4 linked regions of the Canis lupus familiaris genome follow. The protein of the gene in region 3 interacts with the protein of the main gene of each other region in a biochemical or structural test. Links are inferred from orthologs where the notes say so. Each region holds a gene or a part of one and is shown on either strand. Other genes may lie near its edges.

Evidence for each region. The genes of interacting proteins can lie anywhere in the genome.
Region 1: the proteins of UBC (region 3) and TBC1D15 form a complex in vitro, tested with the Homo sapiens proteins (2 studies listed by BioGRID). The link is inferred for Canis lupus familiaris from reciprocal best matches to the Homo sapiens genes UBC and TBC1D15.
Region 2: the proteins of UBC (region 3) and XIAP form a complex in vitro, tested with the Homo sapiens proteins (5 studies listed by BioGRID and IntAct, with this or other methods). The link is inferred for Canis lupus familiaris from reciprocal best matches to the Homo sapiens genes UBC and XIAP.
Region 4: the proteins of UBC (region 3) and TAB1 form a complex in vitro, tested with the Homo sapiens proteins (2 studies listed by BioGRID). The link is inferred for Canis lupus familiaris from reciprocal best matches to the Homo sapiens genes UBC and TAB1.

What each region holds. Positions count from the first base shown.
Region 1 is NC_049231.1:13,772,852-13,776,351, forward strand, and holds part of TBC1D15 (TBC1 domain family member 15), read left to right. Parts: intron 1-83; coding exon 84-134; intron 135-428; coding exon 429-626; intron 627-1,685; coding exon 1,686-1,814; intron 1,815-2,361; coding exon 2,362-2,465; intron 2,466-3,500. UniProt on the Homo sapiens protein: Acts as a GTPase activating protein for RAB7A. Does not act on RAB4, RAB5 or RAB6.
Region 2 is NC_049260.1:96,096,813-96,100,312, forward strand, and holds part of XIAP (E3 ubiquitin-protein ligase XIAP), read left to right. Parts: intron 1-53; coding exon 54-120; intron 121-1,216; coding exon 1,217-1,259; intron 1,260-3,500.
Region 3 is NC_049247.1:5,228,786-5,232,845, forward strand, and holds the start of UBC (polyubiquitin-C), read left to right. Parts: upstream 1-1,260; 5' UTR 1,261-1,419; intron 1,420-2,241; 5' UTR 2,242-2,244; coding exon 2,245-4,060.
Region 4 is NC_049231.1:26,591,231-26,594,730, reverse strand, and holds part of TAB1 (TGF-beta-activated kinase 1 and MAP3K7-binding protein 1), read left to right. Parts: coding exon 1-78; intron 79-649; coding exon 650-761; intron 762-2,935; coding exon 2,936-3,080; intron 3,081-3,500. UniProt on the Homo sapiens protein: Key adapter protein that plays an essential role in JNK and NF-kappa-B activation and proinflammatory cytokines production in response to stimulation with TLRs and cytokines.

The sequences.
Region 1 (3,500 bases), on a different chromosome or scaffold from region 3:
AATATTGTGAGCTTTTAAAACTTAGCTATTGAATATTTTCCGTTAGACTAGTGCACACTTCAAGAAATATTTTTTTTGTGAAGGCAGGACTGCTAGACAGAAGAATGCTGTTGTGGGCCATTCATCAATGGAAAGTAAGCACTGCATATATTTGTGATGTATGCAGATTGAATAAAGCCTGCAAATCATTTGTTTATCTGCAATTTAATCAGTAGCATTAACTTGCTGTGTAATATTCTCTTTTAACCAAATGAAAAGATTGGCTTAGAAAATAAAAATTTTTCTTCCCAGAAAAAAAAAAAAATCTTAGAACACTCTGTTTTAGTTCTGATTTCCCTTTAAAAACCTTTGCCCTTTTGCTCATGATAGTGGTATTTTTATTATTTATTTGAATTAATAATGATAATATTTCTCTTCTTACTACATAGAAAATTAAAAAGGATCCTTATACAGCAACTATGGTAGGATTTTCCAAAGTCACAAACTACATTTTTGATAGTCTGAGAGGCAGTGATCCCTCTACACATCAACGACCACCTTCAGAAATGGCAGATTTTCTTAGTGATGCTATTCCAGGTTTAAAGATAAATCAACAAGAAGAACCAGGATTCGAAGTCATCACAAGAGTGAGTGGACATTTATATTAACATAGCTCTCACATTTTAACAGGAGAAATGCTTTTTAAACATGTACTGAATATGATAGAAATAGAAACTCAGTTTTGGTTATATCTGCCTCTTTCTCATAATCCTTTCTTAAAACTTTTTTGCTAATATATCTAACAACTAATACTTGTTCTGCCTCCACATTGTTGGATTGTGCTGCTTCATTTACTGCTTATACTTTTTATTAGTTGGATCTCTTTTCCTTGATTACTTTTTGATGATAATGAACAGGTTGTTTGTTTCATTGAGTGCATAGCAGTGAATATGAGCCTTGCATATTGTTCCAAGTTCTCTTCCTAATTTATATGTTTTCTCAGTAGGCACCAGGGGCAGCTAGTCAGGACACTACTCTAGGGCTTTTATGCTTATGTGAATCTTTTCTTTTTTAAGGAAGATGGATCTTGGCCCTGAATTGTGGCCAATCTTTATATATGCCCAACAAGACTTTTGAATTTGCTACAATTCTAGGCTGTACATAGTTGGAACATTATAAATACAAAAATTGTAATACTTGAAGGGCTTATCTTGCAAATGGCATTTTTAAATTACCAACATCTGTTAATTGAATAAAAAACTGTAGAAAATACCAAGTGGAACTAATGGATCACGAATCAATTCTGAGAGCTACAAATTTTAGTTTGGAAGGAAAGCTAATTTTAGAATATGTTTAGTGGAATAATACTGTCTTTTCAAATAATAACAGCACACCATTTAATTTGAAGAGTCCCTTATGGAATTTACATGTCGAATGTTTTGTACTTATGTAATTGAAACTCAAAATAGCAAATATATTCCTGTCTCTGAATTTATTACTCTGTTATTTGTATGGTTAGTAGGAAGGAAAGTGTATGGAATGCTATTAAAGTTCATAAACAAAACATTGAAAAATAAGGGAAGATACTAGAAATGTTAGAAATTAACATTTGTGCCTGAGTGATAGTGTTTTAGTTATCGTTTCCGTGTACCTTGATTTAATATCACCGGTTAAAAGTGTATTCCATATTGCTTATCTTATTTTAGATTGATTTGGGAGAACGACCTGTTGTTCAAAGGAGAGAGCCAGTATCACTGGAAGAATGGACTAAGAACATTGATTCTGAAGGAAGAATTTTAAATGTAGATAATATGAAGCAGATGATATTTAGAGGGGTAAATACCTTAATATGGATGATATTTGAAACTGCTGATATTTAAATTTTCTTTTTTGGAGGGATGTGTAGAGTGTAGAGGGAGTCAGGGAATGAATTCCTTTTTGAATAATGATGCCTTAAAATCCCTGTAGGACAGAGACATCACAATCTTTGTGATGTCCCTTAGGATTGCGCGGTGGGGAGGGCGGGAGACCATTAAGCCTAGGGAAGAAGAGTTTTCCTTACTTAAAGTTCTGTGGATTATATGAAGGAGGCGTGTATGTACCCCACTGGTAGTCGCCTTATTTAATAAGGATTGGACTTAGAAAGACTAATCAGTCCCACTGTCTTCTATAGAACAATACTCTGCATTGTTTAAGCTTTCTGAAAGTTTACATCTTCAGAACTAGAGGTCAAAAACAAGTTAGTATTCACTGAATTGAGTGAATATGTATAAAAACTGTCTCTTAAATATTAATCTTCCTGTATATTTATATGCAAGTTTTGTGAACTTAAAGTATTCCATTCTTTTTTACAACTGTGTTTAATATGCATGTTTTCTTTAGGGACTTAGTCATGCATTGAGAAAGCAAGCATGGAAATTTCTTTTGGGTTATTTTCCTTGGGACAGTACCAAGGAGGAAAGAACTCAATTACAAAAACAGAAAACGTAAGTAAGATCTTTTGTATGTTCACCAAAGAAATTAGTAACTCACTCATACAAAATAGTATAGGGCTTCTAGATGATTATTTTAAATAGATGAGGGTATGGGAAAAATAATTTTGTTTTCATCTTTATAGTTGAAAAATTGAGCTCTGTACTTTAAACTAGTCATTTCAAGCACTCCTTATAGTTGTGTTGGTGAATATGTAGAAATATAGTAAAAAAAAAAATTCCACTTCCTTTGTAAAAACATTTTGCATACTTGAAAGATAACTAATTAGATAGGGGTTTTTAAATACATCATCTTGATCCATTTTTGCAATTCATTATGAAATTATAAAAATGGCCACAAGAAGTATATTTACTCTTTAGGTTAATTACCTTTAAATTATTTTCCTGGTGCACTTGTAAATAAACTAGTCTTTCCTTCTTTTGGAAAACTTTCTGTTTTTTTAAGGTATTTCTCAGACTTGAAACTTAGACCAACTTTCCAGTTACCCTTCTCACTCCCAGTTCATCAGGGTAGCCTTTGATTGAAAGCTCACTCTGAATCATTATGTACATATTTAAACCTTCAGACAATCCTTTCTCTTTCAATACATTTGCCAATTATTCTAAGACATTTCACATTAACAGGTTTGTGAATAAACTGGTTAGAAAAATGGAAATCTAAAAAAAAAAAAAAAAAAAGAAAAAAAAAAGAAAAATGGAAATCTTATGTCACATTAAAAAAACAGCAATTTGTAGATTTGTATTTATAATTATTCACAAACTTTAGTGGTTAAAATATTTAATAACTAGAATACTTTTAGATATCATATTAAGGATTGAGGTAAATGTTTTTCTTAAAATCATACCTAAATTATTCTAGTAGTTTAAGCAAAGTTTATGGTATGTATAAGGTTATTTTATTTTTCCTTTGTATTTAATTATGTATCATAAGTAAACATTTCATTATCCTATTTATAACCTCACATCTCACTAGCATCATAAATGCTATGATATATTGTTTATTTTTTTTTTTTGCTATGATATATTGTT
Region 2 (3,500 bases), on a different chromosome or scaffold from region 3:
ATACTTTACTGATTTATCAGCTACCAAAGTTTAACCTTCTTTTAATTGTTTAGGTGTAAATATCTGTTAGAAGAGAAGGGACAAGAATATATAAACAATATTCATTTAACCCATTCAGTGGTAAGTCACATATTGTAGAATATAAAATATTATTTAATTTGTTTTGCAATGATTTCTTGGTGTAAAATTCACAGTATAGTATCTTAAATTAATAATGTATGGTGGGCTTTAAAGGGGAGATCTTGAAGAATGCTTGTTATTTCTTTTTTTTTTAATTTTTTTATTTATTTATGATAGTCACACAGAGAGAGGGAGAGAGAGGCAGAGACACAGGCAGAGGGAGAAGCAGGCTCCACGCAGGGAGCCCGACGTGGGATTCGATCCTGAGTCTCCAGGATCGTGCCCTGGGCCAAAGGCAGGCGCCAAACCGCTGCGCCACCCAGGGATCCCGAATGCTTGTTATTTCTTAACCTGAAGTAGCTTTGTGAAAGAGGAATCCCCATAAGCTGATTGATTTAACTCACTGTAAATAAAAATGGGTTTGAAGAACTAAAATACTTAATCCCTCAACTTTCTGAAATTAGACTTTTGTATAATGTGTTTTATACTCATAAATAATTGTGAACTTTCCAAAGGCAATATTTTAAATCTCAGAAGCGTGTCTAAATTGATGGCAGCCTGGGATGGCTAAGGTATTGGTACCATGTGGGAAGAGCCATGGACTAGAATGGGAAGCCAGAGTTGTCATTTATGGCTCTACCATGAGCTCCCTTGCCTCAATCGAGTTGTTTAAACTCCCTGAGACTCAGTGCCCTGTCTATAGAGTGAGTGGATTGTGTTAGATGATCTTTTAACTTCCTTCTAGTGGGGATCCCTGAGTGGCTCGGTGGTTTAGCACCTGCCTTCAGCCCAGGGCGTGATCCTGGAGTCCTGGGATCGAGTCCCACATCAGGCTCCCTGCATGGAGCCTGCTTCTCTCCCTGTGCCTGTGTCTCTGCCTCTCTCTCTTTCTGTGTGTCTCATGTATAAATTTTAAAAATCTTAAAAAAAAAAAACCTTCCTTCTAGCTTCATCAGGTTATGCCTCTTGCAAACATTCATATGTTGAATTGGAATAAAGCCAATTTATAAATTCATGATTAGTGTAACTTTTCAAATTGAGGTAATCATCTTCTACCAAAAAGAATTCTAACTTATAGTCCATATTTCTATTTCAGCTAAGAACTGCTGAAAGAACACGGTCATTAACTGAAAGAATTGGTAAGTATGTACATTAAAATAAATATACTTTTAATTTCATTAGCAGTTTATTACAGTTGTTTTTTTATAGGGTAGAGACATAAGCTTATTTTTTCAAGATAATCAAAGTAGATTTATTTGAGATGAGATTGCTATAAATTTAAGGATTAGGAAGTGCCTATAAATTTAAGTCAGTTATAGGTAGCTGGGTGGCTCAGTGGTTGAGCCATCTGCCTTTGGCTCAGGTAATGATCCCAGGGTCCTGGGATCGAGTCCCACATTAGGCTCCCTACAGGGAACCTGCTTCTCCCTCTGCCTATGTCTCTGCCCCTTTCTCTGTCTCTCATGAATAAATAAATAAAATCTTTTTAAAAATTTTAAGTCAGGGCAGCCCAGGTGGCTCAGTGGTTTAGCACGGCCTTCAGCCCAGGGCGTGATCCTGGAGACCCAGGATCGAGTCCCATTTCAGGCTCCCTGCATGGAGCCTGCTTCTCCCTCTGCCTGTGTCTCTGCCTCTGTCTCTCTTCTCTCTCTCTGTGTCTCTCATGAATAAATAAATAAAATCTTTAAAAAAATTTTTAAGTCAGATATTTATATAGTAAGAACATTCATGTGACTCATGTAACACTGTACATTAATTGTACTGGAAAAATTTAAATTATACTAAATTATATTATAAGTTATATAATTATATACATTACATAAAATGATACTAATTATAGTAAAGTAAAAATAAAATTTTAAGAAAGGACATTCCTATGGCGGTTGTGCAGTTAGCTTTTCCAAGCTTAGGAGGAGCAGCTATAGGCTGTCCATTGCCATTTCTGTTAAAATCCCCAAAGGAAGAGAGATAAGTGTATTTTTGTCCCAGGTACTTCTTGAGTTAGCCAGGACCATGAATCCAGTGCTGTACTAATGTGCCATCACCATGGTCGGCCCTACCTGCTTCCTTATCCCATGCCATTCTTGAGCCTCCCCCAGTTTCTTCACAGAGGGGCATGGTTCAGTTTATCTTCTCTTACCTTATAGAAAGGTAGAGATTTTTATCCCAAAGATTATTTACTCATCATAAACATCTTTAAAAGCCAGAAAGATACCAGGATGCCTGGGTGGCTCAGCGGTTGAGCATCTGCCTTCAGCTCAGGGTGTGATCCCGGAGTTCCGGGATGGAGTCCCACATCGGGCTCTTTGCATGGAGCCTGCTTCTCCCTCTGCCTATGTCTCTGCCTTCTCTCTGTGTCTCTCATGAATAAGTAAATAAAATCTTTTTTTTAAAAATCCAGAAAGATACTATGTTAAGCAAAGATGATATTGTTATCTCCACTTTTCAGATGCTGAAACAGAGACCAGGAGGTTAAGTGACCCGCCCACAGTTACATTTACAAATCATTAGTGGAACTGGGACTATTAACGGGGTCTTCTGAAATCTGCATCACACTGTGGATCTCATTTCCAGCTTAGGCATCATGTTTCAAAAATAGTAGAAAGTGTAATTTAGAATATGTCTGCTGATTCCCCATTCCTTATACCATCATCTTTTTGGTATCTTAAGGGTTACAAGACAAGAGAAAACTATAAGTATTCATAAATATACTTAAGAAGGAGAGCCACTTTGATAATATTTGATACAGATTTTGAAATGGGCATAAATAATAAAGTTTAAGAAATCATTTATTGGGATGCCTGGGTTACTCAGTGGTTGAGCATTTGCCTTCAGCTCAGGGCATGATCCTGGGTTCCGGGATTGAGTCCACATTGGGCTCCCTGCAGGAAACCTGCTTCTCCCTCTGCCTGTGTCTCCCCCCCACCCCCACCCCGTTCTCTCATGAATAAATAAATAAGTCTTTAAAAAAATTGAGATATGAAAAGAAACAATAATAAAATAAAATTGAGATGTGTAATTCATGTAGCAAAAATTTCACCCTTATAAACTGTACATTTTAGTGGTTTTTAGTAAATTCACAAGGTTGTGGAACAAACCATCACTGCCATTTAATTCCAGAACATTATTATAATCCCAAAAAAGAAACCCTGTATCCATTAGCAGCCACTCCCCATTGCTGCCCCTTCCCCCTCAGCCTCCAGACAACTACTCATCTACTTCTATCTCTCTGGATGTACCTATTCTAGACATTTCATATGAATGGAATCATAATATGTGGCTTTGAAGTTCATCCATGTTGTGGTACTTATACATGATTACTTCATTCTTTTTTTATGGTAGAAAAAGTTTCCTTAGTGTAGATAATACCATGTTCTGTT
Region 3 (4,060 bases):
ACTTTTCCTATTTGTTTTTTTCTTGAAAGCTTTGAGGGTGAAATGAAAAGATCTTTCCCCCCTCCACACTGAAACAGAGAATAGCTCCAGAAGAGACAGTGGCTGGGGGATTGAGCATGTGAAGGACTTTTCTCTGTAAACTTCCAGAAACTTTTTAAGTTTTCACCATATTCAGGTATTTTATTTTTCAGTCTTTCTCCTTTTATTCAAATGGAATTTTGCCATAGAATTCAATGTAATTAAATTATTTATTAAAGATCTTTATTAAAAAAAAAAAAAGATCTTTATTCATGAGACATCAGAAACAGAGACACAGGCAGAGGGAGAAGCAGGCTCCCTGCGGGGACCTCAACACAGGACTGGATCCCAGGACCCCGGGGTCACGCCCCGAGCCAAAGGCACTCAACCACTGAGTCACCCAGGTGCCCCAAATTTTGTATTTGGGATATTAAATTGTGTCCCCCCCCCCCCCGCCCACGAATGTACAGGCCTGGGATTGGACTTGTGTTTCTGAGACCCCAGGCCTAAGGAAGTTGTACGTCTGAGCTCCACTGAGTGTCCACCAGATGCCTCCGTGTGTGTATCTAGTACAAGGCGGCGTAGGTGGTACAGGAAGGCCAAAGGACATTCTAGAAAGTTCGGTGGACTTCCAGACGCCTCTCGAATAGGTGCGGGCAAAGCGTGCGGGGTTTCTGCGCCCCCTTCTAGCCTTCGGCCGTCCCGCACCCCCTGCTCCCCCGCTGCCCCAGCCCAGCCCGGGCCCACCTCCCGCCCCGCGCCGCGATCTGTCGAGTCATCCGTCCTGTCCGCGCCCGCGCGGGGGGATGGGCGGGCCGCAGGCCCCGGCGCGAGGACCCCTGCGGTCGCGGAGGGGCGAGGGACCACGACGCCCAACCCCTCTCCGCCCAGGGCGGGTCTCGAGAGCCGCGGGGACCGCTGCGGCCGAGGGGAAGGGGTGTCTGGGTCCCGCGGCAGGGGCAGCTCGCCCCGGACGCCCGGCGATTCCGCGCCGGGTTTTCCCGTCTCCCGCGGGCCCTGTTCTCCGCGCTCGCCCCCTCCCCCCTCCCCCCTCGCATCCGGCGCCGGCCACGTCCGCGGACGCAGCACTCAACGGGCGCGCTGATCCCTCCGCGCGGGCGCTCGGGACCGCGGCCCTCTCCTCGCCAGATTCAGCCCTACAGCCCAGCCTTGACAGGTCGACGTTTCCGGGGGCTCCTAGAAGATTCTGGGGCAGTGGTTTTCTCCCTGGAGGCCAGGAAGACGGTGAAAAGTAGTCCCTTCTCGGCGTTTCTGCGCAGGGATCCGCCGGAGCGGCGCGGCCGATTGTTATATAAGGAGGCGCCGGGCGTGGCGCAGGCAGTTCCGTGGAGGCCGGGAGGTCGGTTGTTCGTCTCCGTGCGCTTCTGTCACAGCCGCTTGGTGAGGAGCGGGCCGCTGCGCGGGCCTGGGGGTCTTGGGGCCCTGCAGGGGCGGGGGGCCGGGCAGCCGGCTGCCCGGGGAGTTGCCCGCGGCGCCGGAGCGCGGTTACTCTTGGGGGGGGGGGCGCAGCAAAATGGCGTCCGCTACGGCTCCTGTGCGGGGAGAAGCCGAGGTGCGAGGGGCCGTGAGGAGCCCGGGAGACGGGATGGCTGTGAGCGGGCGAGACGCGCCGAGCCAGTGGGGCCCTGACGGGGCCCTCTGCGCAGTGAGTGGGGGCGGGAAGCCCCTGTGTGCTCCGCGGCCCCGCTGGCGCCACGCTCCGTGTCCGGTCGCGGCGAGTGGGCCCGAAGTGCCGGAGCAGTCCTGCGCCCGTTTGGGGGGAGGGGGCCCGCTCGTCGCGTCGGTCATGTGATGTCATCGCTTTGTCAGCTAACAATCCGGGGTGGGGCCGCGTGTTCCTGTGTGTGGAGCCGGCTTGGGTCAGTCGCGGGGCACAAGGGTTAGGCGGGGCGGGGGAGGGGAGATCCTGCGGATTGTCCGGTCCAGACATCACTGAGGGGGGAGGGGAAGATACGGAAGCCGGCGCCTTCACTTGACCGGTATCCATGCTTTCTCTCCTCCTGGGGCCTGGAACTTGGTTTTGGAGCTTATTTGAGTTTCCAAAACCTGTCCTGTTTCTTCGCCTTAGGTTTTTTGGCGAGGTTTATTTTAGTTCTTGGGTTAGTGTAAAATGACCAGTAACTGTTAGCGTTCTATTCACATGTGAGTGGTCTGTTACACTCCGGATTGTTTTTTTTGTTTTTTTGGGTTTTTTTGTGACAGACAATGCAGATCTTCGTGAAGACTTTGACGGGTAAGACCATCACCCTGGAGGTGGAGCCCAGTGACACCATCGAGAACGTCAAGGCGAAGATCCAGGACAAGGAGGGCATCCCCCCTGACCAGCAGAGGTTGATCTTTGCTGGCAAACAGCTGGAAGATGGGCGCACCCTGTCCGACTACAACATCCAGAAGGAGTCCACTCTGCACCTGGTCCTTCGCCTCAGGGGGGGCATGCAGATCTTCGTGAAGACCTTGACGGGTAAGACCATCACCCTGGAGGTGGAGCCCAGTGACACCATCGAGAACGTCAAGGCGAAGATCCAGGACAAGGAGGGCATCCCCCCTGACCAGCAGAGGTTGATCTTTGCCGGCAAACAGCTGGAAGATGGGCGCACCCTGTCCGACTACAACATCCAGAAGGAGTCCACTCTGCACCTGGTCCTTCGCCTCAGGGGGGGCATGCAGATCTTCGTGAAGACCTTGACGGGTAAGACCATCACCCTGGAGGTGGAGCCCAGTGACACCATCGAGAACGTCAAGGCGAAGATCCAGGACAAGGAGGGCATCCCCCCTGACCAGCAGAGGTTGATCTTTGCCGGCAAACAGCTGGAAGATGGGCGCACCCTGTCCGACTACAACATCCAGAAGGAGTCCACTCTGCACCTGGTCCTTCGCCTCAGGGGGGGCATGCAGATCTTCGTGAAGACTTTGACGGGTAAGACCATCACCCTGGAGGTGGAGCCCAGTGACACCATCGAGAACGTCAAGGCGAAGATCCAGGACAAGGAGGGCATCCCCCCTGACCAGCAGAGGTTGATCTTTGCCGGCAAACAGCTGGAAGATGGGCGCACCCTGTCCGACTACAACATCCAGAAGGAGTCCACTCTGCACCTGGTCCTTCGCCTCAGGGGGGGCATGCAGATCTTCGTGAAGACCTTGACGGGTAAGACCATCACCCTGGAGGTGGAGCCCAGTGACACCATCGAGAACGTCAAGGCGAAGATCCAGGACAAGGAGGGCATCCCCCCTGACCAGCAGAGGTTGATCTTTGCTGGCAAACAGCTGGAAGATGGGCGCACCCTGTCCGACTACAACATCCAGAAGGAGTCCACTCTGCACCTGGTCCTTCGCCTCAGGGGGGGCATGCAGATCTTCGTGAAGACCTTGACGGGTAAGACCATCACCCTGGAGGTGGAGCCCAGTGACACCATCGAGAACGTCAAGGCGAAGATCCAGGACAAGGAGGGCATCCCCCCTGACCAGCAGAGGTTGATCTTTGCCGGCAAACAGCTGGAAGATGGGCGCACCCTGTCCGACTACAACATCCAGAAGGAGTCCACTCTGCACCTGGTCCTTCGCCTCAGGGGGGGCATGCAGATCTTCGTGAAGACTTTGACGGGTAAGACCATCACCCTGGAGGTGGAGCCCAGTGACACCATCGAGAACGTCAAGGCGAAGATCCAGGACAAGGAGGGCATCCCCCCTGACCAGCAGAGGTTGATCTTTGCCGGCAAACAGCTGGAAGATGGGCGCACCCTGTCCGACTACAACATCCAGAAGGAGTCCACTCTGCACCTGGTCCTTCGCCTCAGGGGGGGCATGCAGATCTTCGTGAAGACCTTGACGGGTAAGACCATCACCCTGGAGGTGGAGCCCAGTGACACCATCGAGAACGTCAAGGCGAAGATCCAGGACAAGGAGGGCATCCCCCCTGACCAGCAGAGGTTGATCTTTGCTGGCAAACAGCTGGAAGATGGGCGCACCCTGTCCGACTACAACATCCAGAAGGAGTCCACTCTGCACCTGGTCCTTCGCCTCA
Region 4 (3,500 bases), on a different chromosome or scaffold from region 3:
ACGGCCTGCAGGTGACACAGCTGAACGTGGACCACACCACGGAGAATGAGGACGAGCTCTTCCGCCTCTCTCAGCTGGGTACGTCTGAGTGGGGCCGACCCCCACAGCTCACTCTGTTCTCTTCTGGTAGCCGTGAAGGGAGAGGCATGAAGTGCTCGGGCTGTGACCTTGGGCTTGGGACCAGCCTTCCTGGGGTTGGATCCCAGCTCTGCCCCTTACTAGCAGGTGATGTTCAGAATTTCAGAAGGTTTTTGTGCCTCAGTTTCCCCATCTGTGTAACAAGGATTGTAGCAGCGCTTACCTTGTGAGGATTAAGAGTCCATGTGTCTAAAGTGTTTCCAAGAGTACCGAGTATGCACTAGGTCCCGTGATTGGTGGAGACTAGGAGGCCAGCAAGATCCCGGTTGCAGCCACCACGGCCTAGCCTCCCTGCCCAGGGCCTCTGGGTGTGGTGGGCGTTCTGATGGGCCTGGCCACAGGGCACCGGGGAGCTTTGGGTGAGCCACTCCAGAGGGCACCCTGCTGTGACTTCATCCTCTGTTCCCTGGGTCCTCATTGCCTTACTTTGGGGACTGTGTCTGTATGCCCTTCCTTTTGTTCTTCATGATGAAAAGGACCTGGGATTGTCCTGTTGTTCTCCCTCTGGCAGGTTTGGATGCAGGAAAGATCAAGCAGGTGGGAATCATCTGTGGGCAGGAGAGCACCAGGCGCATAGGGGATTACAAGGTCAAGTATGGCTACACAGACATCGACCTACTGAGGTAGGTGGCCAGCCCAGCTGCCGCGTGCGTAAGGCCAGAGGGCCTGGACAGAAGCAGATTTGGGGCTCTCGGGACAAAAGGTGCAATTGAGGTAGTTGAGAGCCCAAGAAGACTTTTCTTCCTCCTAGAGAGGTTGGTGTGTGGTCCTAGATCCAACAGGCCAGGAAGTGGGGTTCCATAGAGCTGGGCTGGCAAGGGGTCAGGTTGGGGATCTGAGTCAGAGCCAGGGACAGCAACCAGTGCCTGGGGCCCAATGGGAGTGTCCAGGGTTGGCATGAGCCACCTGGTATGAATGGGGACGGACGACAGGCCTCCTGGTCAGTGCTGTGCATGCCCGGCTCAGGGCAGAGGTCCAAGATGAAGTAGATGCCGCCCTCCGTGGACCCTTCCCTTTTGGCTGCCACCCAGCGCTGGCAGCAGCAGATGGGCAGTGGTGGTGATCGTGGGCCGTCATTGTAACGAGCCAGTGCCCAGCTCTTTACACACCATCTTACTCAACCCTCACTCAGACCCCGTGAGGGAGGTCCTGTTGTTGCCCGGAAGGTATGTTCACATGAAGAAACAGATGTGGCGACATCAGGGAGCCTGCCTGGTCACAGGGCTAGCGGGGGCTGAGGCAGGACTTGAACCTGGATGCAGGTTCATCCTGAATCCAGAGCAACATCCCAACATTGACTGGGAAGATAGACATGTGTCTGTGGTGTGTGTATGTATGTGTGTGGGTTGGTGTGTGTTTGTGTGTGGTATGCAGGGGTGTGGTTTGGGGGTGTATGCAGTATGTAGATGTGTGTCGGGGGGTATGTGTGTAGGAGTGTGGTATGTGTGGGAGTGTGGTGTGTTTGTGTGTGGTATGTGTGTGGTATGCAGGGGTGTGGTTTGGGGGTATAGGTGGTGTGTATATGTGTGTGTGTGGTATGTGTGTGGGAGTATGGTATGTGTGGGGTTGTGTGTGGGGGGTGTAGTTGGGGGTTGTGGTTTGGTTTCTGGGGTGTGGGGGGGGAGGGTATGGTGTCAGGGTGTGTGGTTGAGGGGCTGTGGCGTGGGAAGGAAGGGAGGGTGTGTGGGGTTGTGGTTTGGGTCTCTGGGGTGTGTGTGTGTTGGGGGAGGTGTGTGTGGCCTGTCACAGCATTTAATGTCACAACCAGAGCCGTGAGGGACTCATACCAAAGACGCCAGCGTCAGAGCCAGACTCGTCATAGCCTAGAAAGCATGAGTTACAACTTGTTCTCCCGAGATTTAAACAATTGAGTTTGGAAATTTTCGTCTCTAATTTGTGAGGTTCTGTTTGCTTAATTGGAAAGTACGTTTGTGGCTTAAAACAATTCAAGTAGCACCAAGGATGTACGGTGAAAAGTAAGTTTCCCTCCCACCTGAGCCCGGACTCCCTCCCAGACGCTGCTGGTCCTGCTCGCTTGTGTCCTGCCCCAGAGCCCCTGTGCACGTGGATGTGGGGGTGTGTTTCTAAGACACCCGCAGGCGCTGGCGTACTGTCTCCCAGCACCTCCCTTGTTTCCTGATGGGTGCTGCCCTCCCCTGCTGTGCAACACTGGGTGGGTTGGCAGCGGCACTCTCCATAACAGCTGCCCAGGTCCCAGAGCTGGGCTGTGGCCACGCTCCCCAGCCCCCTACTCATGGGCTGCCCGGATGTTCCAAGCTTTGCTCTGCCATGTGCCATTGCCAGGAACATCTTAGACTCGCCTCCGTGTGTGTGCACACGTACTGGAGCTCTGTGACATCTTCTCGCTCTGCTGGCGCCTCAGTAAAGGGTCCCTGTGCACCCGGGGTGCGCGTGGAGTCTGAGTTGGCGTGGATACTTGTTTTGGAGGAGCGCGGGAGAAGTGGGCTTTTAAAAGTGATCCCTACTCACCCTCTTGCTGTCCCGACTGTCACCGCATAGGCTCTGTGGACAGGAGCTGAGGACTGGGGCCAGGATGGGGCACCCGATGTCCACTGCCCTGACCCCAGCTGCCCCCTGGCTCTCCTGGGCCTCAGCTTTACGTTAGGCCCACCCTCAGAAGACAGTTCTGTTTTTCTTGTTTTCTCTTTCCTCTATTTCTTTTCCTCTTATTAGATGTGCATTTAACTTTACATCCTGGGCAGATTCTTGCCCTTAGCAGAAGAAATGTCCCCTGGCGCCCTCCCAACCATGGCTCTCCCTCACTTTCTGCCTATAGCGCCGCCAAGTCGAAGCCGATTATCGCAGAGCCCGAAATCCATGGTGCACAGCCCCTGGACGGGGTGACTGGCTTCCTGGTGCTGATGTCGGAGGGGCTCTACAAGGCTCTGGAGGCAGCCCACGGGCCTGGCCAGGCCAACCAGGTGAGCTGGGCCCTGGCACAGCACAGCCAGCCAGCCCTCCTCGGCTCCACGGTCCTCAGGGACCCAGAGCCCTGGTTCTCAAAGGCCATCTCCAGACAACTTCTCAGTCTTCAAAGCTGGGAGAAGAAAAAACCCAGTGCTCTAAGAACACCCATCCCCCCCCAAAGCTGTGCTTGTTCGGGGCTTGAAGCAGGGTCAGTCTTGGGGGCCTGAGCAAAGCCTGAGGGGAAGAGGGGGAGAAGGAAGTGAATTTGCATGGGCACATGGTTCTGGAATATCCGAGAAGGGCCCTGGGCTGAGAAAGAACACCCAGAGCCTATAGCCTGAGCCTCAGGCTCCCTCCGCCACCTTCCCCTCCCTCCCCTTCCCTCCTAGCTGCCCTCACTTAAACAGCTTGCTCCTTGTCTCTGATGCCAGGTG